Linked DNA regions of Struthio camelus. The protein of the gene in region 1 binds, or shares a complex with, the protein of each later gene. Links are inferred from orthologs where the notes say so. Each region holds a gene or a part of one and is shown on either strand. Other genes may lie near its edges. The genes, in order: HNRNPU, YBX1 and IGF2BP1.

Region 1 (7,752 bases):
TCTTGCCTATTCAAGTGCAGTAATTCTGCAGTAACTGCTTATACTTACCCTCAAAGATAAGTTAGTCCAAATCATGCTGTACCACAATAATAGTAACATTTATAATCTGCTTCAAAAAACAGTTTGTATGTAGTTCTCAATTTCTATGCCCTTTGGACCAGTTCTCTCTGCCATGCCATTTGCATATACCATCTACCCCCCCCAACCTCGCAGACTGCATGAATGCAGCATTTTCCAGGAGCTTTCTGCTGATTTCTTCTCAAGTTTATTAGAAATCAAAAAATATACTGCATTAGTTTGCATGTAACTAGGGCCTCAGCAAGTTATGCAGGAAACTTACCCCACAGACTGTACTACCTTAGCCCTCTGTTTATTCCTGAAACTTATCGAAGTAAAACATTCACGTGATATAAAATTAGTTTCTCACGACTCAAGCTCCCAAGCTGTTTCTAGCATGATCTACGTTCACTGCACGCTTGCACAGCTTAGTTTATGTACCAGGTTAGTGTTTTGGTTAAGATTTCTTCAGAAAACGATATGATATTACGTTATTTCTTGGGAAAGCCAAGCTTATAATTGCTAATAAAGACCCAGGCATCCTTTTGTTGTTTCGTTATACTGAAAAGTAAAGGGCTAATCTTGCTGTTTCTTAGTAATAACGATCAATGGATCTGCCCTACATTTCAGAAAGCATAGTTTTAAGTTTAAAAGCATACCACTACACCTTCTAGAGCGCAGGAAAGCATGTTTACTCACAAGTATCAAGACAAACCACTGTGTCATCAAAATGCTCATCTTCTTCTTCAACAGGTGGTTGAGGGGACTTAGCCCTGGCGAGGGAGGAGGAAAAAGAAGAGAATAAAAAATTAAAGTTGGAAGCATTTTAGTAGGGGTATAGGAAATACTTCCTACAGCTTCTCATTCGCAAAATCTTGTCCAGCATCAAAAGTTTCTTTACCTGCTGTACTTATTTTCTTCAATGTATTCAAAATACCCACGGCCATGATCTTCACGTGGTCTCTTCACACCCCTCTTTTTCTCACCAGGTTTTTGTTCTGTTTTAGCATCTCCTGTAACAGAGTTAACAATTTATTTTAGCAACGCAATGTAACTCTGCTGGGAATAAAACCATCCATAACGTTTCCAACTTTGGAAACTGAACGAAAACCCTCAGGAACTGAAAAGCAACAGCATCTTGGCAGACTTTTTTGTGTTGCTCCAAGACAAAAAGCTTGCATCTCCGCATCTGGCACGGTCCTCGATGTTAAGAGAAGACGCCCAGAGAAAAGCCATCCCGCTCTCACGCGGTGAAAAAGAACGGCCAAGAAGGCGCCCGCGCTCTCACCCGCGCCGAGCAGGACACTCCCGGGCGCTCACAAGGACGCCGAGCGCTCCGCACGAGTGCGCCGCCTCCCGGCAGGCCGAGCGCGGCGGGCGGGAGCCCCCGCGCGGGGCCGCCCGGCCGCCTGCAGGGAAGGGATTCCGCCTCCTCCCGCCTCCATTGTACCAGGCCTTCCAAACGCGATCCCGTGGAGCACCCAGACCGGAAGTGACGTCACGCCGCCGAGCGCTCCTTTGCACAATACAGCGCGCCCCAGCGGCCCCTCCGGAGGGGCCGCCCCTCCCCCCGCGCGGCCGGCGCAGCGGCCCCTTCCCCTCACCCCCCGCGCGCCTCCACTCCACCCCCCTCGCGCAACGGCCCCTCCTCCTCCTCCAGCCGCCCCGCGCAACGGCCCCCTCTCGAGAACCCCTCTCCCCCGCCCGCGGCCCAGCGCAGCCGCCTGGCGAGGAGCACGCGGTGCGGGGGGGGGGGGGGGGCGGCGCCGCCGCCGGTGTGTGTGTGTGTGGGGGGGGGAAGACTGGAAACCCCCTCGGGGACACCGCCCCCCCTCCCCCCCCCCGGCGCGGGAGGCGCCGCCGTCGCGCCGGCCGCGAACGCCCTCCCGCGCGCACCCCGGAAACCGCCCTCTTGGCCGTTGCCCGCCCGCCCGCCCCCCCCGCCGCGGGGGGGGGGGATTAACGGCCTTTCTTTCCCCCTCCGCCCCCCCCCCCCTTTCCGCCGAAGGCGTCGCGCAAACTCACCCCCGGCGGCCTGAGCCCCGGGGCGGCCGCCACCACCGCCACCTTCCGCTTTCTTCTGCTGCTGCTGCTGCTTAGCGGGGCCCGCCGAGCCGGCGGGGGCCGCCGCCGCCGCCGGGGGCCCCGAGGCGCCGCCGGTGCTTTTGCCGGGCGCTTCCTTGGCGGCCCCGCGCGGCTGGAGGAGCGGCGGGGGCTGTTGCTGCTGCTGCTGTTGCTGCTGGGGCTGCGGCTGCTGCTCGCCATGCCCGTTGGCGTCTCCGGCCGCGGCCTCTTCCTCGTCGGCGAGCTCGTCCTCCCCCTCTTGGAAACCCTGGTCGTCTCCGTTCTCATCCTCCTCCTCCTCCTCTTCCTCCTCCTCGCCGCCCGCCTCCTCTTCCATGGGGCCGCCCCCGGCCCCCGCCCGCTCGCCGTTCTCCTCGCCCAGCTCCATGGCGTCGCCATCGGCGGCCTCCAGCCCTTCCTCGTCGTCGTCCTCCGCGGTGGAGGCCGCGGCCTGGTCGGGGCCTCCTCCTTGGTGGAGCTGCGAGGCGCCCCCGCCGCTCTCGGCTGCCTCCCCCTCCATGCTGCCGTTGCCAGGCTCAACTGCGCTGCTGGCGGGGCCTCCCCCGCCGGCCTCCTCCTGGTCTAGCGCGGCCTGGAGCCGCTCCATGAGCTCGGCCTTGAGGCCCTTGTCGGAGAGGCGCCGCTTTTTCAGCTCCTCCTTCAGCTCCGACACCTTCAGCTTCTTCACGTTCACGGGCGAGCAGCTCATGGCGGCGGCGGCTCGGTCCCTGGGCGGCGCGCAGGCGACTCTGGGCTCGGGCGGACGGCGGCGGCGGCTCTGGGTCGAGGCCCCGGTGGGAGGCGGTGGGTGGGTGGCGCGGCTGGTTCGTGCGGCTGCGGCAGCTGCAGAGCGGACCCGCCTGGCGCCAAATCCTTTCACCGAGCTCGCGAGGGAGACGCGCCTCGCGGGGCCGAGCACGCAGCACTGCCCGCCCCGCCCCCGCGCACGTAGGCCCTCCTCCCCCCGCTACCGTAACGGCCGCCGCACGCACCGCCGCTACCGTAAATACCGGCCCGAGCGCAGCACCTCTGCGCGCCCCCCGGCGCCTCTCCCGCGCGGGGCGCCGTGCGCTGGGGCCGCCCCCGCCGGCACCCGGAGCCGGACCCGAGCTCGGGGCGGCAGGAGGGGCCCTGGCAGCCCGGGCTGGTCGCGTCTACGCGGCGGAGTTACGGGAAAGGAAAAGTTGCCTCTGCCGGCATAAGCCCCTCCGCGCCGACAGCTGTACCTGCGCCATGTTGGGCCAGGCGGCGGCAGGAAGCCCGGCGAGACGCCCCGCTGCCGCCCGCTCGCTTTCGGCAAAATACGCCATTCCGGACGGGAAACCGGCCCCAGCGGGACCCCGCCAGGCCTCCGCTCTTCCCTCGGTGCAAGATGAGGCCTGAGCAAGGCCCCAGATAGACCCCCCCCCCCGGCGGCCCCTTCCCCCCCGCTGCGGGCACCCTCCGCAGGCCCGGCCGGCGCGCTGCGCCGCGCGGAAAAGGGGTTGAAAATTCAGTTTCAACTGAAAGTGGAAACAGTCCTTCTCAAAATAGTCGCACTGGTACAACCCTGTTAGCACAGTTACATAAGGACAAAAGTAGAGCTATAACAGCAATTTCTTCACAGGCTACGGCATGCGCCAGCCTGACCGGTAACTAGACCGAGTGGCTCCACAAGCCACAGGGCTAACTTAAGGTTTTCAAGTGCGTTAACTCTCCGTCAGACAAGCAACGCTCGTCTGCAGCTTAGTGCAGAGCTAGCTGACCAGGTAACCAACTGCAAGCAAACTGCTGTTGCTCCCAGCTTTGCTGCTCCAGAGCATTCATGTAGGTCTCCTCTCTGTTCTGCCACCAAGCTGTGCACCCACTGAATTTTTCCAATATGGTCCAAAGCTACTGGAGCAGAAACAGCAGAGAGCAGCGCAGATGAACAGGAGGTTAGCATTAGTAGACAAGTCTGGTTCCTTAGGAAGCCCTAGTAAAAAGTTAATTTTCACTTGCTTTTAGAAATTTTAAAAAGAGGCAAGTTGAACAACTAAAGATTGTTAAAAAGCCCTATTGTAGGGAAGGTGTACTGACATGAAGTTGCCTTGTACTGGAGCAGGTCACATGGCCTTCTAAACCAGAAGAAATTATTTAAGTTCACCTGCCTTCAGGAAAAGGGAGGAGAGACAAGGAAGTCGCACTGTTTTTAACTATACAAGGAAAGTTAAACAGTCCCTTAAGCACATGCATGCACTCTGTCCTCTCCAGCCAAGCTGAATCCACTCAGAGGAAACACGACTCAATCTGCAAGGTTAGCTCAACCCTTCACTGCACTAAGTCTTGTTGGAACAGAGACAGCAAGAATTCCCTCATGCAATATGTACAGCTTAGAAAAAGGTTATCACAACCTTTTCCTTATATAAATGCAAGTTAGTAGATTTTCCTCAGTTGAGGAGGTCACAGTCATCTAAATAGGGGGAAAAAAGGAGATTTAAAAAAAGTGCATCAGTACTAAGGAGAGGTCAATGCATGATCAAGCTGCACTGGTATAAATTACCTTTGTGCATTTCTTCATGTAAGAGCTATCTAAACTAGTCTGCTGAGGTAACAGTGATATATATTCCCATGGAGGGGAACAAAGTGTAAACAGGGCTTACCTAGTTAATATTACAAGATTACTTACTGGAGTTTACAGACAACTCTACAATAAGGTAGATGTCTTTTGCTTCTCCCACCTCTATGCTCTTTTGTGAACTTTAAATTTAAAATTTTTAAACAAAACACACACTGAGTCTTTTCGATTTGTAGTGCGTCTGAACCTGAGGCAGAGCCCTACATTTAAACCTTGATCTGGTACAGTCTTCATCACATGAGGAGCCATGTTTGCAGAACTTCATCAGCCTAGTCCAATAATCCTACCAGCGCAAACTTTATGGCTTAGATCCTTTCAGCCTTTTTTGATCCTTGAATGTTGCCTTGAATTAGCACATCTGCACACATTTACAGCACTTGTGTTAAAAACTGCCCTTGTTCAGAATCATCTTAGAGCTGCAGTCCTCACATGTAATCCCCTTCCTAAACAATGTCATGTCTGCCTACTTCAGTAACATGCTCATACAGCTTTATACTGCTGTTACCATGGAGAAACAAAACAGCTAACGACTTTGAGGCACATCAAGAGATTACTTACTTACCCCAAAGCACTCAAGCCTGTATATAAAGGCTCGAGTACATAAAATAAGAATTGTAATTTGTTTTGAGCATTAAAATAGAGGCTCACTATTTTTTTGCCCCAGAAATTTTTTAACACCAACCTGAAAAGGCTCCTCTCCCCTTTAAACTATTTAGAAGGCTGAACTTTTGTTTTAGGGGATTAATGCATACCATAGCAGTAAGTACATGGTTGTATAGTACCATTAGTTACACTATCAAACAGATAGTCACAAATGTAGTAAGGCCATGCCTTCGGTCTACAGAGTGCTGCTACCCGTTATTATAAAATGGGGAGATCCCAGCTGATTTTTAAATATCAAGTGATTTAATTGTGGTGAGAATGGCTTTTCTCTGAAAACTAAGCACATACAATACGCACATAACTGAAACAGGCATGCAACCTTATGACTGATTTCCATGGTAAAAGCAATTTAAGTTTTCTGCTGTGTATGTTAAATACATGTTGTTTACACAAATGCCCCAGTTTGGGGAAAACAAAGAGTTCACTTGTCCTCCCTGAGTCCTGAGTTCAGCGGTGTGACTCTTCCCCATTCCTACTTTAAGGGGGCAGGGGAAGAAGTTAAGGGAATATGCTTTCTCCATTGCTGTGCCTTTCCTTAATTCAGATAACAGTTCCTTCAACTCAGCTTTTCATAGATCACGCAGATACCAGCCACATCATAAAAATAAACATTTAGTCATATGAACTCCTGAAACATGAAAGTTCAAATTAAGCACTTCAGCTTTAATTTGCAAAGCTACCACTTGTGCAATAGTGACAGCCATAATAAATACCTAGCATCATTGCTGATAACCACAAATTGTCTTGCCTTAAATTACCCTTTCTTTGGTCTCAAAATATCCCCAAAATCTTAAATAAAACAAAAAACCCTCCATTTAATTGGAAAGTGGCATCTACCCATAAACAACACGTAGTCCCGTCTGCTTTCTTTGTACTTATTTATCCATCATACAGTATTTTCCTCATACCTCTGTTACATCTTCAGAAAGTTAAAATATCTTTCACTCCAAACCAGTCTCCCCTAAAAAAAGTAATTTGGGATCCTCTCAATCCGCAGCTCTCCCCTTCTAATCAGTTACTGTAGTCCCTCTAATTTTTATTTATACTTTTTCAGATTTTAGCTAGCCAACCTTCGCCTCTCACCCCTAATGTTCTTCCCATTAGTCACTGCTGGTCTTTCCAAGCCCCTCTCCTGCGTGCCAAGAATGGTCAGCCCTTCCCCAACCGCTGCCTCCTTTCCTGCAACGGTTCTTTTCTCTCCTGGATAGGAGATGTGGATGTCTTTCCAAGGGGTGACAAGAAGGGCAGGCTTTCACAGAGGGACCAGATGGTCCCAGGGGCCCATCCTGCCTGGGCTTTTGTCTGATTCTGCAGGTGCACAACACAGAGCCCATTCCTTCCTGGGAGGAGCTCAGAGGGATGTCGAGATCAGTTGTGCCAACTGCTGCAAGGACTGGCCTGGCATCTTCAGACTACCTCTAAGTTGCAGGGAATTGTCTCTTACCGCAAGCACAAAGACAAATCTATGTTTATATCACACTACTCAAATAGCAGTGATTCCCTGAAGATGAGATAGCTATTTAAACCTTTTCTTACACCTTCAACGTTGCAGAAGGACACAAACATTTATCTTTTCCTAGGTTTGCTCTCTTTCAGCCTTGTCTATCCTTTTCTGGCTGTTCTTCTCGTGCTTTACTTTCCTTCTGACCATCGCAATAGACTCCTTGGTCTCTTCTGTATATCCTCAGTCTCTCCACCCTCAATTAACACTGCCTTCAGAGTTTGACATCCAACATACCATTACTTTAAAAAGAGAGTATTATTCTTGAAATACTCGGCTGCCTTTTATGATAGCAGGGAGCACGTGAAGTAAGTCTTTTTCTCTAAGTCTCCTCATGAAATCCTCATTAATCATTATTAGGGCTGGTCAAAAAAATCCAGACATTTTTAAATGCTAATTTATCACAAATGTTTGATGGTGAAGGATCAATTTTGATGATTGTTCATTTCCCCCCCCCCCACTATACACACACATATATGTACACACAAATAAATACAAAGATATACACACATGCATGTGCACGTGTGCGTTACATGTACACATCTGAAATACAAATGCCAGGAGGCTGGGAGTGTCTTTCTCAGGAAGTCTCTGCCTACTTGCCCTGAACAGCTTGTCCCATGGCATTCACTACTGCTTACTATCAGAGTCAGTTTGTAAAGATAGCTGGGCCTTGCCTTATCCTATCTACAACCTCTCCATGATATTTTAAGATCAAGTAAGGTCTAATCCACCTCACAAGTAAGAAGGCCATTTGCAGTAAGGCCTACTTGAAGAGGAACTAAATCCTTATTTCATAAAGATGTTTAGTGCCCGATTTCAAGTAAAGCTAACAGTATTCAAGGGACTTAAATTCAGATTTCCGGCATTG
Region 2 (7,940 bases), on another chromosome or scaffold:
GCGCTTCTAACATTAAAAGACAACAGGAAATATTTGAAGCTAATATGCACCCCTATCCAAGCTGAACTTATCTGCAAGCAGACCCAGTTGAGGCAAAGACAAGCAAGATCAGGAGCTCTTGCAATGTCTTCCTTAAAGCAAGCCAGAGAGATTCCTGAGCTGTGGAAATGTCCTCAAGTTCAATTCTCAGACTGCAGCTCTAATCTCTCGATAACATGAGATCATGCTGGGTTTCTCATTAAAATGGCAACCTCAGGGATCAAACAGCTGCCAAATTAATATGAGTGGGAAAACTATTCAGATGTCTTAACTACCTGCTGTTACTTCCTTGCTTGACTCACATAACTGAGCATTTCCACCACTGAGTGGAACAGGAAAAAAGTCTTCCCTAGAGGTAGAGTTTGTGCCCTTTGACTTTATAGCCAGTTACAAACGTCACAGATGCTAAAGCTCGTAATACTGACAACTGTTCAATACTTAACATTCAAACTACACATGAAGAATGCATTTAACTTAAACTGGGCAGACTCAGAGTCAAGTTTTTAAAGTTACAGACACAAAACCAAGTAAGGAGCTTGGTAGATACTTAAGACTGGGTCACAAAGTAACACAGAGAGCTAAAAGGGCAATACTTAAAGCAAATCTAAATAAAAAACCCAATAAAATCCCCAATACCTTTGCTTGCATCCCCGAGTAAAGATTTCCAAGTCTTTTGCCAATTTCTGAAACATTTGTTTTGAGGGCTCACAGCTCTAATTACATCTTTCAACTTGTTTCAGTCTTAACTTGCTAGAGCTTACATGCAACGCTTATTCTCATTCGAGAGCCCTCTGTTTAGAAAGGCAAAAACAACCTATAGGAGGAACTACAGGTATCTTGTGGCTTACCCCATTAATTAAGTTTCTAATAGATGCTTCGCTCCAAAGGAAGGAAGTGGTATTAGGTGTTTAAGGACAATAGTTTTTAATATTATGGCCTCCAAAAAATAAACCGCACTGAAGCACTCCAGACTGGTAGAAGAACATTACATTTTTCCAGAACTGATTTGTAGAGCAATTCTAGCACACCTCTGCCAAGTCATCACTAGACAGCTCACTGCTATGTTAAGAGTTCAGGTAAACACCTCAAACTAAGCACTGAAATTCTCAAGTCAATCGCTGAATCTTTTAGGCATCTTTTTTTTTTTTTTTGAGAATTTCTTACATGCTCTAGTTTCATGATATAAGGAATGAGTTTTACACATTTCCCCAGGCATTCAGAGTTCCCTCAAGAGAGCAACTACCTAGTGTCTCAAACAATTGCTTGCATTGATGTTACTGAACTCTATACAGAAGCTAAAGAAATATTTTGTGCACATCAGTTGATTTTTATACTCTAATAGAAAAAAGGAAAAAAAAACACACATACACTTAATATAAGAGGTAGCACTACGAAAACAAATCCACTACATCCCTTTTGGTAAGAGCCTCGCTGAAGTGCTTTTAAAAAAAAAAAAAAGAACAAAACAAACACACAGTAAGGGTGAATGATCATGCAACAGAGGTAGGACACACCTTATCAGTTGCTCCTGGAAAGTGTCACCAAGCAGGCACTAGAAGTGATAAAGGTGTTTATCTGCAGCCCCTGGTGTTATACGAGCCTAGTGCCCCAGCGTAAAACAACCAGATATGAACCACGCGCAGCACGCACGTGTTACTCAGAAGTACACTTGATCTTGGGTCCAACGTCTGCTTGGCCCAGAGGGCAAGTCAAAGCAACGCTCATTGAAGAAAAAAATAGCACTAGTAATAAAAACAAAAAAAAAGCCCTCTCTCCACACACTCCAGCAAGAAACCCTGCTGCCCTCCTAGGACTTCTCAGGGGTGCTGGTGGGGGCAAGGGGAGCTCTTGTTAGAGTTCCCCCCCCCGCCCCGCCGCGCTAAACACCTAGGAAGGAACGCCAGAACAAACTGGGCGCGTGCTCGGGGCGGGGAGCGGGGACAGGAGAGCCGTTTCCCAGAGCAAGAACTCCCTCAGAGGGGAACAAAACTCCAAGCAAGCTGCCGAGCCCGGCGGCCTCAAGGAGAACCCCCCCTCCCCACCAAAACCCGCCTCACCTGTTGATGAAGCCGTAACCGTTCCTTACGTTGAACCATTTCACTGTTCCCAAAACCTTCGTTGCTGCGAGAAGAGGCAGAGAGAAAGAGCCGTAAGCTGCGGGTAGGCCCGGCGCGGCGGCCTCGCTTGGTTTCCCCCCCCCGCCCTTCACTACCCTCATCATCACCTCCCTCCCGCCCCCCCCCCCATCCGCTCGGCCCGCTGGAGCCGAACCGAGAGGAGCGGAGCGGGCAGGCCCGGCCCGGCCCGGCGCTGCCGGCGGCACGTGGCGGGGCGGGTCTCACACAAAGGGCCCCGCGTGGCGGACATTTTGAGTCGCTCCGCGCCCGCTCCGCCCCTCCCCTCCCGCCCCCACCCGCCGCCGCCGCCGCCACGCGGGGCCCGGCGGCGCGCGCGGGAGGGGAGGGGGGGGGGGCGCCCAACGGCCGCGCGCGAGGCGCCCAACGGCCGCGCCCGCGCGCGCGCGCGCAGGGGCTCGCGCCGCCCTGAGGGGGGAGAAGGTGGGGGAGGGGAAGGGGGGGGCCGCGCCGCGCCGCCCAGGCCCTCCCTCCCCACCGCCGCCGCGGACCCCTCCCCTCACCGATGACCTTCTTGTCCCCGCCGGCGGGAGGCGCCGCCGAGGCCAGGCCGCTGGCCCCGTTCCCGGTGCCGCCGTTAGGTTTGGAGTCGGCGGGGGCGGCGGGGGCCGCCGCGGGGACGGGGGCGGCGGGCGGCTGGGTCTCGGCCTCGCTGCTCATGGCGGCGGCTGTTCGGTGCGGACGGTGGTGGTGACTAGCTGTTTGCGCCGCCTCCCGCGGTGTGATGGTGACTGAGGCCGGCCGTTGGGGGGGGGGGGGGGCTGCTCCCTGCTCCGGGCTCGCTGAGCTCCGCTCTCCGCTCCCGATACCGATCGAACTGACCACAATGGCGGCCCGCACCGGCTAGCCACTCCGCACGCCCCGCCCCCCAGCGCGGCCATTCGCCGAGCGGCCTGCCCGTTCGGCAGCGCGCGAGCTCATTGGCCTTCTCCCCTCCACCCCGCGGCCGGCGCTAAAGCTCCTATTGGGGGAAGCACCTGCCCTTTACCAAAGCCGCAAGCCCATTGGCTGCTCTGGCTCGGAGCTGCCAGGCTCCTTTTTCTTGCCAGCCCCCTGGCGGGACCCGCCCCCGCAAGCGGATTGGTCAGCTCCGCCGTTGCTCCCGCCCCTCTCCCCCGGCCAGGCCGGGGAAGTGCCCGAGACCACGTGGCCGCGGGCGCCTCCCGCCGCCGCCGCCGCCGCCGCCGCCGCCGCCGCCGCGCCCCCTGCCCGGACCGGCACCGGGACCCGGACCCGGACCCCGTCCGCTGTCCCCGGTGCCGGTCCCGGTCGGTGCCCGTCGCCCCCGGTCCCAGACCCGGGATGTCACCGGACCGTGCTCCAAAGGACGCACCGGTGGCATTTCGCCTCGCTTGAAAAATGTGGGACAAAGTGAGCGGACGTGCTGCCCCCGCCTGCCGCCCTGTTACAAGAGCGAGATGCAATCCCAGCTTTTCCCCCGAGGCAGGCAGCTCCCATTAAAAAAATAATCATCGTCGTCGTCGTCTCAAGAAACAAGCCTGCGAGTGTTAATTAAAAGTAGAAAATAATGGATCTGGAGACACGACAAAGCTTTTTTCAATATATAATTATATGCAGTTAAAGCGTTATAATCCAACCTCCTGAGAAATAGCGTGCTCCCAGGGACCGCCGCGCTGCCGGATAACGAACTGCGAAAGCGCCGCGGTCGGCGTTCGAAGCGACGCCGTGGACCCGGTCTCGAGCCCCGCGGCGGGAAGGCGGCGGGCAGCGGTCGGCAGCTCTTCGCCGGCTCCCGCGGCGAGGAGGGGGGAAACGGGCCCGGCGTCGCCCGCCGAAAGGCGGGAGCTGCCCGACGCACCCTTCAAACCTGGTCGTGCATCAGCTCGCCCCCACCAAAGTCTCCTCGCCGGGCAGGGACTGCGGAAAGCGTCGGCGTGGGGTGTTTTATCTTCACGGAGCCTTGCTCAAATGACCATGTTTTGTCTCCATCCCTAATCTTTGCCTTCCAGCGGCTCAGAGCGATCCCAGAAAGCACCCGTTGGACTCTCCAAAAGGAAGGTGCAGGGAAAACGAGCCTCCTCGTGCGCCGAGCATCCCCCCGGCACCAACCCTTCAGCATCGGCTTTCCCCATCCCAGGGCCAAAAGGACGAGCCGGGGGCCGCGGCCGCCGACGCTGCGCCACAGCCGCCTGCGGGGCTCGGGTAAGGTAGCGCTTAGCGATGCCGATCTCCCGCGGAGACGTTACCCTGAAGGGAGGATTAATTCTCTGCTTGGCCACGTGGCAGCTTCGCCCTCGCTGAGCCCCACAGCCTTCGCCTCTCGAGGATTCAGCGAAGAGCCTGCTCGACCTGAAACGTCCGACGGGCGGACCTGGAGCCCGCGACTGCTCCCGCTGGTTCAGGCTGCCCTGCATGGCCGGCAATCTTCCATAGACAACGTGAGCGAGGCAGGGAGGGCACCTCAGTGCATACGTACCACAAACCTGGGTAATTAGAGGCCGGTCTGACGGCAATTCCCAGGCAAAATAAAGGGACGGCTGATACAGGCCTTGATTAACGGACGATTTGCAGAGAGCACTATAATTGCCGCCAGCCGATGGGGGTTTACGGACATAGATCTCATCAGACCAACTTGGTATCTTCTCCGTGAGATCTCCAGCTCTGCCAAGGCAGGGAAGAGCGTTAAGAGCACTTCTGCAGGGCATTTGCCTCAGTGTCACGACCCTGATTAAGAAACTAGAAAGATATCAAAGCAGGATGATGCTTAGTAATTCAATTAAAAAACATGTCTTAAAACGTAATGGCAAATGGGAGTCCACCAGGCAAGAGACCCTACAAGGACTCTTATTTAGTTAGTTATTTATCAGTTTTATCAAAGATTGGGAAGATGTTTTCAAATCCCGATGATAAAGCCTGCAAGGATGCAAGGGCCTTGCACCTACAGAAGAAAACGTGGCCTTCCCAATGGCTAGTGACTTTACTCCAGGACACGGCAGTCTTTGGGGGGGCAACACTGCAGGACCGAGAAGTTAATCTGATCCTCAGATGAGTAAAGAACCGGACTGCTCTGTGGACTGCTCTGTCCACAGTTCAAGGAAGATGCTGGAGCTCAGAGAGAGAAGAGTGATCACAAGATGGAAACATCTGCTCTACAGCGAGAGATTCCAGGATTTGCTTAGCATGACATGGCTGAAGGGCAACTTTGTCACTGGGAATTAAACCTGAAACGGCGGTATTTGAGAGCGCTTTCAACCTGCAGATAAGGAACAGCAAGATCCATAGGCTGGAAAGCTGAAGCTCGACACGTTGAGTCACAGACAGACATGCATTGTAAACAGGGGATATAATTAACCACTGGAACAACTTCCAAAGAGGTTGCGATGGATTTGCCACTGCTGGATATTAATTTGGGGAAGTCCTGTGACCAGCGCTATGCGGGAAGTGAGACTAGCTGATCACAGCGATATAAATACATCAGGCTGTGAAAGCACTGCTGAGCCTGGACCCAGAAATAGGCTGGTTTCCCTGGTGAAAAAGCACGGTGAATTTGAGTATCCACAGCCAGAACTGCGACCCTCCGCACTGCAGCTGGCGAAAAGAGCTCCCTGAGCAGCCTGGAGCTAAGCTCGTGCCTCAACCCCATGGGGAAGGGGTGTTTGAACACGTTCCCTGAGCAGGAACAACGGGTAAGTTTATGTCTTTTCAGCCACCACTACCTCATAGCTATTATCTGGGCCCAGTCTTCTCCTCCGTGTGGGGAATTTCAAACCCTCAACTCATAGGATAGAGCCCTAAGCCGTTTGTTTGGGCCTGGGGAGGAAAGGGATGGCACGCTTTATGTTTCCTTCATCCCCTGATGTACCACAGGAAGGAGAAGGTGAGATGACTCGGGCTGGGGAGGAGGGAGGGCAAACGTCCTCTGCAGCCAAGCAATCCCAGGAATTGGGACATGGAAATCCTGACAGCCAGAGCCTGCTCCAAAGACTTTAAATAGCCAGGAGATAAAAAGAGCACGCCAAAGCTTGCCTGCAGGATCTGTCCTCCGGTACATTACTGCCTGCTATCTAATACACCCAAGCAACGCACAAGCCAAGTGTGCAGACTGCTCCTTCCCGCACAATACACCTTAGGCAAAGGCCATAAAGCAGACTGCTGCCCAAGGAGTGACGAGGCAAATCAGGATGGGCTGGAGCCGTTGCACGTGACAAAAGAGACTTTGTCCAAGCTCCTTTATATTTAATCCGCCAGATGAGAAAACTCACCTCGAAGCTCATCCCGCAGCAGGGAGATGAGCTTGCAACCCTGGTCTCCGAGAGGAGGAAGGCAGTTTTCCCACCAGCCTGCAGCCCTGCCACCAAGGGGAACAAGGAGCCCAGATTTCTCCGCCTGCTGCATAATCACTCCCCAGATCCCAGCCCAAAGACCTGTTGTGCTCCCCGCTAAAAGACATGCCCTAAAACATATCATCCCCACAGCCTAGCACTGAGATATGCTGGGGAGGTTTTACAAATGCTTGTTTACAACATAACTCACCTCTGGCTTTCTATACCGCTACAGAGCCCAGCAAGCTCGTGCTGCTGAAGCCTTTGCGCCATACCTATTTCTCGTGCTTCGAGAAGGCTGAATGCAAAAGGTCTCTAAGATTGCTGGGATACCACGAACCTCTCTGCCAGGCAGCCTTATTTACCTGGTGGGAAAAGAGCTGGTGTAGCACAGCTCTGCCATGCTCCTTTCACCCCTTCAGACCCCTTTCTTCCCATTTCGTGAACGCCCAGCAGCAACGCCCCTCAATGCCACACACGAGAAACGTCCCCTACTGAACTGAACAGAGATAACGCACGTGGCTAAAGAAGCTATAAGCCCTGCTAGCCAGAAGAGTCCATTCCCAAGCACGTTAACTGACTTGTGCTGCACACGTTTACCAAAATGCTTTATTTACATTTCAACGTATAAAAAACAAAAAGGAAACATGATAGATGCCAATTATTAAATAATTTCAGGAGAACGTCAAGAACGCGGGTCTAGCCTGCAGAGAAGACTGGGGCAGCGGGGGACTGGAACTGCTCAGAGCCGGCACAGGCCTCACCACCAGCAAAGGAGCACTGAAATAAAGCAGAACAAACAGCTCTGAAATGCTAGATAGCCGTCCCTAAGTCATCCTACAAGCAGCGCGACTGTGCAGCGACACTGGGTACCGCTCCAAGTGAGTACTACTTGCTGCATGTAGTAGCTCACGTCAAACTTGCCCATGTGACCTAGGGTACCCAGAAGTCTTCCTGACATCTGCATCTACCTTGGGGCTTATAACCAACAGCGCCTGTTTCTCCCTGCTGCTTTTAAAGGAGCTTGACAAGTAGCTGATTTAGCTGTCTGAAGCAGGTGAGAGGCAGCAGGGTGCAGAAAGGCAGGTCCCAAGACCTGGCTAGAAAACAAGCGAGGTGGCACCAGCCCTCAGACCTAGAAATGAAGTAGATTTTTCAGTTGCAAGTTGGCGATCAGCCAGAGGTCACATACAGGACCACCGAATAGAAATGATCAACAGGTTTGGGCCAGGGGACCACCCTACGGGAGACTCTACCCCGCAGCACAGGTCTACCCATCTGCAAGGGCATCTGTTACTAATGTTGTTCCCATCTTCAGAAGCATATAGATGCCACAAAAGTCAACAGGAAAATGGAGGAATGGTTATATTCCCTATTGTCACTTCATCAAATAGAAGGAGCTCCCAAGTATCTGATGCGCAGCAGATCTGAAAGCCTTTATTATGGCAGCGGGGATGCAGCTTCATGAGAAATTCCAGATGTC
Region 3 (6,951 bases), on another chromosome or scaffold:
ACCTACCGTGGAGTTTGGACAACAGGGCGGCGGGTGGATATTTGGGAGGGGGGGGAAGGAGAGGGAGGGGAACTGCAGCCTCCAAAGAAATATTTACATTTCGAGATAATTTCCTAATAACGCAGGGGGAGAAAAGTCAGGGCAGGGCAGAGCGGAGCAGGCAAGACGGTGAAATCCGCTCCCTTCGGCCCAAGCTATCGATCATGGAGCCAGGCTACGGGGAGGGGGGGAACGGTGAGGCCCCCTTGGCCCAGCGTCACCCCCGTCCCCTCCGCGCCGTCACCGCCTTTCCCACAACACCGCTCCGCTCCGGGATATTTAAGCCACGGCGAGGTGTCGGCCGCCGTAAGGAGCAATATCGATCAGCTCGGCGCCAGGCAGGTCCCGTCGCTCCCAAATCTTTCCAGAGGCAAAATTACGGGATGGAGTTGGGGCTTCGAGTTAAACGAGCCGGACCCCGGGGTTGGAGGCCGAGGGGCTTTTAGCCTCCCCCCCCCTCCCAAAACCTTTCCCCCTCCCTGACCCCCAGCTCCGAGGGAGGGTTTGGGGCAAAGTTGTGAAGGCCAAGGCCTGGCGGCAGCCGCGGCAAGGCCCAGCCCGCACCAGGAAAATGGACTCCCCCGTGATCACGCCGGGGGATATATATATATATATATATATATTTATATATATAAATTTTTTTTTTTTTGGTCAATCGGAGGGAAGCAGCAAAGAGTTGAGGGAGAAGGAGTTTGCTGGGCTCGGCCTCCTCCCTGCCGGCCCCGCCGCTGAGGTAAGCGCCTCGTCACGTGGACCCGGGGGTCCCGGGGCCCGCGCCATCCAACGTGGACGAGTCGGCTGGGCCAGCCGCTCGCCTGCTCCCTGGCGCGGGGCGTTCGGTTGGGGGTACTCCCCTCCCCCCCCCAAATAAAAAAAAAGGAGGGGGGATTTATTCTTTATTTCTCTTTTTCAGCATTCCTGCCCCAAAACGGCTGGCAGCCCCCCCCCCCAAGCACACAACAAAGGGCCAAGAGCGCGGCGAGGCCGGAGGCCCAGGCCGGGCACGTGAGCCCGGGGCAGAGGCGAGGGGCTGCGCGGAGCTGGGCCCAGCCCGGGCCCCCCGCCTCGCCCGGCCTCGCCAGTCCCACCAGCACGTTTCCCCCTGGCCTTTCTTCTTTTTTTTAATTTTTTTTTTTTTTAAACTAAAGCGGAAAACAAAAGGCAGGCGCTTCCCAGCGAAGGAGAGGGGCAAGCTGCGGAAACGCGCCCGGCTGCACAAGTTTGCAAACCCAGACCCCAAAACCGCCTCGGCCGTGCCCGAGCTTGGGCGAGCGAGCGGCGGGGTCATTGTTTCGGCTAGGGTTTAAACTTGCTCTCAGAGTTAACTTCAAAAAAAAAAAAAAAAGAAAAAAAAGGAAGGAAATTTCAACATTGATCCTGCACGCTGACTCCCACCTCGCAGAGGACGGATCGGGAGCCAAATCGCCAACATATCTCCTTTCACATGCACATATTTGGGGATATTTTTTTTTGTCTCCTTTATCTTACGGCCTTTTTTTTTTTTTTCTCCTTTCCCCCCTCCCCAACAGCAAAGAAAAAAAAATTAACAAAAGAAAATAAAACGCTGTATTACCTTTGCTTTTTAGGCACTGAATGTTCAATCTCTAGCTGCTTTCCATGAAGCTCCACTTTCCCTAAAAACAAAATGTGTCTGGGTTTTTTTTTCTTTTCTTTTTTTTTTTTTTTACAATGGGGGGGGGCAACAAATAAAAGCCCTGGAGAACATGCTACCACGTGAAACCTTTCGTTTTCATTCCGAATTTACGGGGATCTACACGCAAACACGGCCGCCGGCTGCCCCGCGGGCGCGTTGTATGGGGCGGGAGCCCGGCGGGAGGGGGCGGCCAGCGGCCGCCTGGACACCCCGTTGCCCCCTTCCCACCGCTCCGCTCCGCTCCGCGCGGGAGAAAACGGAGAGGGATATTCGGAGAGGGATTTCTTCGCCTTTATTCAAAGCCTCGTGTTGAATTCCCGCGGAATTCCTCGTTTTAGGGGTGTTTGGGGTTTTTTTTCCTTCCCCCCCCCCTTTCCCCTTCTCCCCTCCCCACCCAAAGGCTCCGAGTCGTTCACGGCAGAAACGGATCTCTCGCTTTTGAAAAACGGGGTGGTTTCTTTGCGGCTGGTTTATTTGGGGCGGGGGAGGGAGGGGGGGTTGGGGAGAGGGGCTCGGGTATGGGAAGAGCTCGGCGGGAGAGCTGGGCGGGGGGAGGGGGGGGAAAGAAAAAAAGGAGGAAGAAAAAATCGAAATTTCAAAAAAAATAAAAATAATGATAATAATAATAAAGAGCCGAGCTGCTTCCCCGGGAGCTTTTTCTCTCCGTGCGAGCAGCATGGCGACCTTCGCGCTACTCCGCGCATCACATGCCCCAGCCAAGGCAGTTTCAAATCAAAATGGCCAAAGTCCCAGCCCACCGCCCGCGCTGCCGCCGGGACCCCCGGGCCGAGCCCCGGCGGGGCGGGCGCCGCGCTGCCGCCGCCGCCGCCGCGCCCGGCCCGGGGGCGCCCACGGGGGCCCGGCCGGGGTGGGTGTGTGTGGGGGGGGGGTGGGCAGGGAGAGGCCCCCGCCTCGTTTCACCCTTCCGCTAGCTGCTTTTGGGTGGAGAAAAGGGGGTCGCCCCCCCCCCTCCCCAGCCTGCGGGGGCCCCCGCGCTGATGCAAGCGCCGTCGGGGGGAGGGGGAACAAGGGGCTGCCCGGCGGCAGGATGCGGGGTCGGGGAAGGGGGGCAGCAAGCGGGTGGGGGGGGGGGGAAAGGGGAGAGAGGGGAGGGGGGCGAGGCCGCTTACCCGAAAAAGTTTCGATGGCTTTCATGGCCCACTGCTCGTCGGGGCAGTCCACAAAGGCATAGCCGGACTTGACCAGGAACTGCCCGCTGAAGGAGATCTTGTGCTCGTTGAAGACTTTCTCCAAGTCGGCGGCGGTGACGCTCTCGTTGAGGTTGCCGATGTAGAGCTTGTTCATGGTGGCGGGGGGCGGCGGCGGGGGGGGGGGGCGGCCGGGCTCGCAGCGCGCCTCGCCGGGCGCCTCCACCGAGCGCCCGCGCCGTCGGGCTCCGGCCGCGCGCTGCCGCCCCGCCGCCGGGCGCCTTCGGGGCTGCGGGGGGGGGGGGGTTTCCCTCCCCCTCTCTCCCTCTTTTTTTTTTTTTTTTTTGGTTAATAATCCAGGGGGGATTATTTCCCGGTGCGGGGGGGGGGGGGGGGGGAAAGGAAAGCAAGCCGGGGGGAGGTGGGGGGCGCGGCGGCGGGGCGCGCTGCTCCGACGGGCGGCGGCGCCGGCTCCGGGGGCCCCCAAGTCGGCCGAGTGGCACTCGAGTGTCACCGGACGCCTCTCGGCAGCCGGGCACCGCCTCTAAATAAAACCGACCTGGAAAATGAGTGAAAATGTTTGCTGGAGGAAGCCACGTGGTGATGCGGGAGGGCCCGGCCCCCGGGGGGAGGGGCCGGGGGGGAGGGGGCCCAGCCGCCGCCACTTATTTATTTATTTTAATTTAAATACTACGGTATTTACCTCCACCCCCCCCACCACCACCCTGCGGGGAGGGGTGCGCACCCACCCCGCACCCCTCCCCAGCGCCGTCCCGTCGGAGGCACTTTTGCCATCTGCTGCTGCAGCCCCCCGCCCCCACCGCGCCCCTCCCCCCCGGCGCCCCTCCCCCCCCCACGCCGGCCCCCGGTGCCTCAATGGGATTTTTCTGGGTGTAAAAAAAAAAAAAAAAAAAACAACTTCAGTATCAAAGGGGCCGCGAGGGTCCCCTGGCGCCAGGGCTGGGGGGGGGGGCGGGCCGCCCCCCCGGGGCTGCGCGCCCCCGGCGGGAGGATGGGCCCCGGCATTGTTTTAAGCGCTTGGTGCGCGGCCCCGCGGAAGCCCCCGGGCTGCGGGGAAGGAGGGGGGGGGGGATGGCTCCTCCCGGCACAAAAGGGCCCCGCGCTGGGGCAGGGCCTTTCCCCGACGGCAAAGCGGCGTGTGCGGGGCAGCCCCCCCCCTTCCCTCCCCGCCTAGCCTTTTCTGGAGACTTTTTATTTTTAGGCTCGAGATGGGTTGAAAATAGCAGCGAGCCCCCCCCCCTCCCTCCCCATCCCCCCCGCTACCGTCCTCCGCCCCCAGCCTCCTTCCTGCCTTCCCCCCGACGGGGCGGGCGGCTCGGCAGCGCGGCGGCGGGCAGGGGCGGCCCCGGCTCCCCCCGCCGCCGCCGCGGAGGCTCCGTCCGGCCTTTCCGCGCTCCCGATGAAAACGCGCAGCAAGGCAGCTCGCTCCCACGTGCTGGGCGGCCCAGACGGGGGGCACCACCCCCCCCCCAAAAAAATATATATCTATATATTAAAATTCCCGCAAGGCGTGCGCGCTGTTCCGGCGCCGGGAGAGCCCCGCGGAGGGCGCGCCCGGCGCGGGGGGGCAGCGGCGCTGCCGCGCTCCCTTCCCCCCTCCGCGGGGCGCCCGGTTACGTCTCCGATATTTTTTTTTATTTTCGATTTTTTTTTTCTTTCTTCCCCCCCCCCGCCCCCCGCCCCTTGCTCAGCTGCGTGGAGGGTTTGTTAGTAAATAAAGCCGAGGTCGCTCAGAAATGGGCGAGTTGCGCGGGTCCGAGGAAGCAGGCGCGCGTAGCCCCGGACGCCCGCCTGCGCTGCAGCCCCCCCGGGCGTCTCGTTCACGCGAACGGCAAAAAAAAAAAAAACCCCTCTGCCAAACGCTCATTTAAAGCCCGGAGCAGTCCGCTTTCCCTCCCGGCTCTGAACCGCTCTCTGCTACGCTGCTCCTGCAGCGTGTGGATGCTGCTCACCAGGGCAAGTCTGGTTTCCATCCTTCCAGCTGCGTTATTTGGCTCTCCTAGAAGTACCAAACCGGCGCAGCCAGAGGAGGCTTTCTGTGTCCACGGGCAGGTTTCTAAGGCTTCCGGCGTGTCACCCACGCTCAAAAGTCACAGACGAAAAGGAGAGAGCGATGCAATTTGGAAATAAATCTCCTGCAGCTCAGACAGCGCGCTTCGCACCCTCGCGGGCTGAAACCTGGGACGTTCACGGGCTTCCACCGCGCTGCGCGTCGCGGGCAAACAAGTCAAAATAAATGAGCCCCTATCTGCCTCGCCTCTGTTTCTAATCTTGACCCTAATACTGCTGTTGCCGCTGTTTATTGGTTAACCGAGCACCTTGCCCGTGTAACATAACCCTTTGCAATAATGAAATCAAGGAAACCAGCCTTAAAAAAAAAAAAAAGCACCAAACAAAGAGGGAAGTCTTCAATTTAGGTCTGAAACAAGAAAGACTATCAGTCAAGCTCCTTCCCCTCGGTGGAGCGTTCCAGATGCAAGGTATTTAGGGAATGCAAACAGCAGAGGCTCCATCATTGATTTGCTGCCCCCCCCCAACCCCGTTCACGGCTGGGGCAGGGTGGGAGGGGGCTGCCCGGCCGGGCCCCCCGCCCCCGGCAGCTGGGGCTCGCCGAGCCCCCCGCAAGGGCGACCGCGCTGCTCCTGCAGACGTCAGGCTCGGCAGCAGCTGCCGAGCCCCAACCGGTCAGGAGCGCTGCAGCCCGGGCGCTGCTAAGCTGCAGTTTCCCCCGGGATGCTGTCAGCTCGGGGAGCCTGCGTGGCCTTCTCCCTTCCCCAGGATTTCCTTAAATTTCTTGGCGAAATCGCTCCGAGCGGCTGGCCGCTTCGCGTGGGCTTACAAACGGTGTCCCGCTCCGGCGTCGGCATAAATTTATTCCTGACTTTAGACGTAAGATCTGATTTTGGCAAAAGGTTGGTTGGTTGTTTTTTCCCTTAGATATAAATCCCTGAAGCAGGTAGGAAAGCGCTCACAGAGAACTGACAATTTCTCCACAACTCAGAAAAGCGATTGTTGCCGCGTGGGTGCTCAGAAAAATTGGTTGGAGTACAAAGTTGAACGGGAGGGGCGAGCAGCGCGTTTGAGGTTTTAATGAAACGTGGGCTTCGTACAAAGGGGCGAAATTCCTGCCGTCTGCTCAAGTGCTGCTGGTGCTCTGACTCAGAAAATACCTAAAACAGAAATAATCTTTATGACAGATTAGTGGTAAACTAGAACAGATTATAATCTGTAATTTTTCTGCCAGTTGTCATTTGAATCTTTCTTTAATTTGTTTTTTTTTTTAATCTCTAGTGCTGTCACTTATGTTTAATTTTAAGAAAATTAAAGGTGTATTTAAAAACCCCAGAAACTCTGGAAATTCTTCAGTTTCAAGAGTTTGAAAGTATCTGTTGATTACTATCAAATAAACGTGTGCTGAAAGTTTTCGGTAAAATACATAGGTCATACAGCAAAAAAATAAGAATTTAATGTTTGCAGAATCTGTTTCAATTAGCTCTCAGCTAGCAGAAATCATCTGAGCTCAGAGCAAGCCTGAGCATAAAACACAGGTGAGAATTCAACAGAATAAGAAGAGCGAGCAATGCAGTGGGGAAATATTTCCTCTTAGTGAAGTGGAATCACAGTTTAAACCCCTTTTTGTTCCCTTTTTATTATGTGGAAAACATTCACCACTGGAAAAAAGAAGCTCCCGTCCGAGAAGGTCCCGCCGATTCCAGGCTGTGCTGCCAAATTTGTTAAGAATCAAACTGATTGGGAAATTAACAGTTTGCTTCGAAACAAAATTCAGCATTGCGCTGGATTTGGGACAATCCCCGGATTCCCTGCGCGCTTGCAGGGCGGTTTTTGCTTCTGCCTGCGGCTTGGTCGAGGCGGAGGAGGACGGGGCAGCGGCCGCGCCAGCGAGGCGCTGCGGGCGGGCTGCGAAATGCCCCTCTGCTCCCGGCCGGGGCGCCTCTGCCAGCACCGGGCGCGAGGCTCAAGAGCAGCAGAGCTGACGTTGCAAACGGTTAAACCTGCAACTTTCTTCGACGTTTGGATATTTCCTAAACATTTTAGTGCTTCAGTTACAAACAAAGCAAATACTCCGAT

Evidence for each region.
Region 2: HNRNPU (region 1) and YBX1 share a complex: the UniProt entries of both Homo sapiens proteins name them as parts of the coding region determinant (CRD)-mediated complex. The link is inferred for Struthio camelus from reciprocal best matches to the Homo sapiens genes HNRNPU and YBX1.
Region 3: HNRNPU (region 1) and IGF2BP1 share a complex: the UniProt entries of both Homo sapiens proteins name them as parts of the coding region determinant (CRD)-mediated complex. The link is inferred for Struthio camelus from reciprocal best matches to the Homo sapiens genes HNRNPU and IGF2BP1.

What each region holds. Positions count from the first base shown.
Region 1 is NC_090944.1:99,222,047-99,229,798, forward strand, and holds the start of HNRNPU (heterogeneous nuclear ribonucleoprotein U), read right to left. Parts: upstream 3,047-7,752; 5' UTR 2,831-3,046; coding exon 2,083-2,830; intron 1,071-2,082; coding exon 959-1,070; intron 831-958; coding exon 757-830; intron 1-756. UniProt on the Homo sapiens protein: DNA- and RNA-binding protein involved in several cellular processes such as nuclear chromatin organization, telomere-length regulation, transcription, mRNA alternative splicing and stability, Xist-mediated transcriptional silencing and mitotic cell progression.
Region 2 is NC_090962.1:12,631,848-12,639,787, forward strand, and holds the start of YBX1 (Y-box-binding protein 1), read right to left. Parts: upstream 3,036-7,940; 5' UTR 2,835-3,035; coding exon 2,678-2,834; intron 2,161-2,677; coding exon 2,097-2,160; intron 1-2,096. UniProt on the Homo sapiens protein: DNA- and RNA-binding protein involved in various processes, such as translational repression, RNA stabilization, mRNA splicing, DNA repair and transcription regulation.
Region 3 is NC_090966.1:5,262,773-5,269,723, forward strand, and holds the start of IGF2BP1 (insulin-like growth factor 2 mRNA-binding protein 1), read right to left. Parts: upstream 3,087-6,951; 5' UTR 2,999-3,086; coding exon 2,824-2,998; intron 1,674-2,823; coding exon 1,613-1,673; intron 1-1,612. UniProt on the Homo sapiens protein: RNA-binding factor that recruits target transcripts to cytoplasmic protein-RNA complexes (mRNPs). This transcript 'caging' into mRNPs allows mRNA transport and transient storage.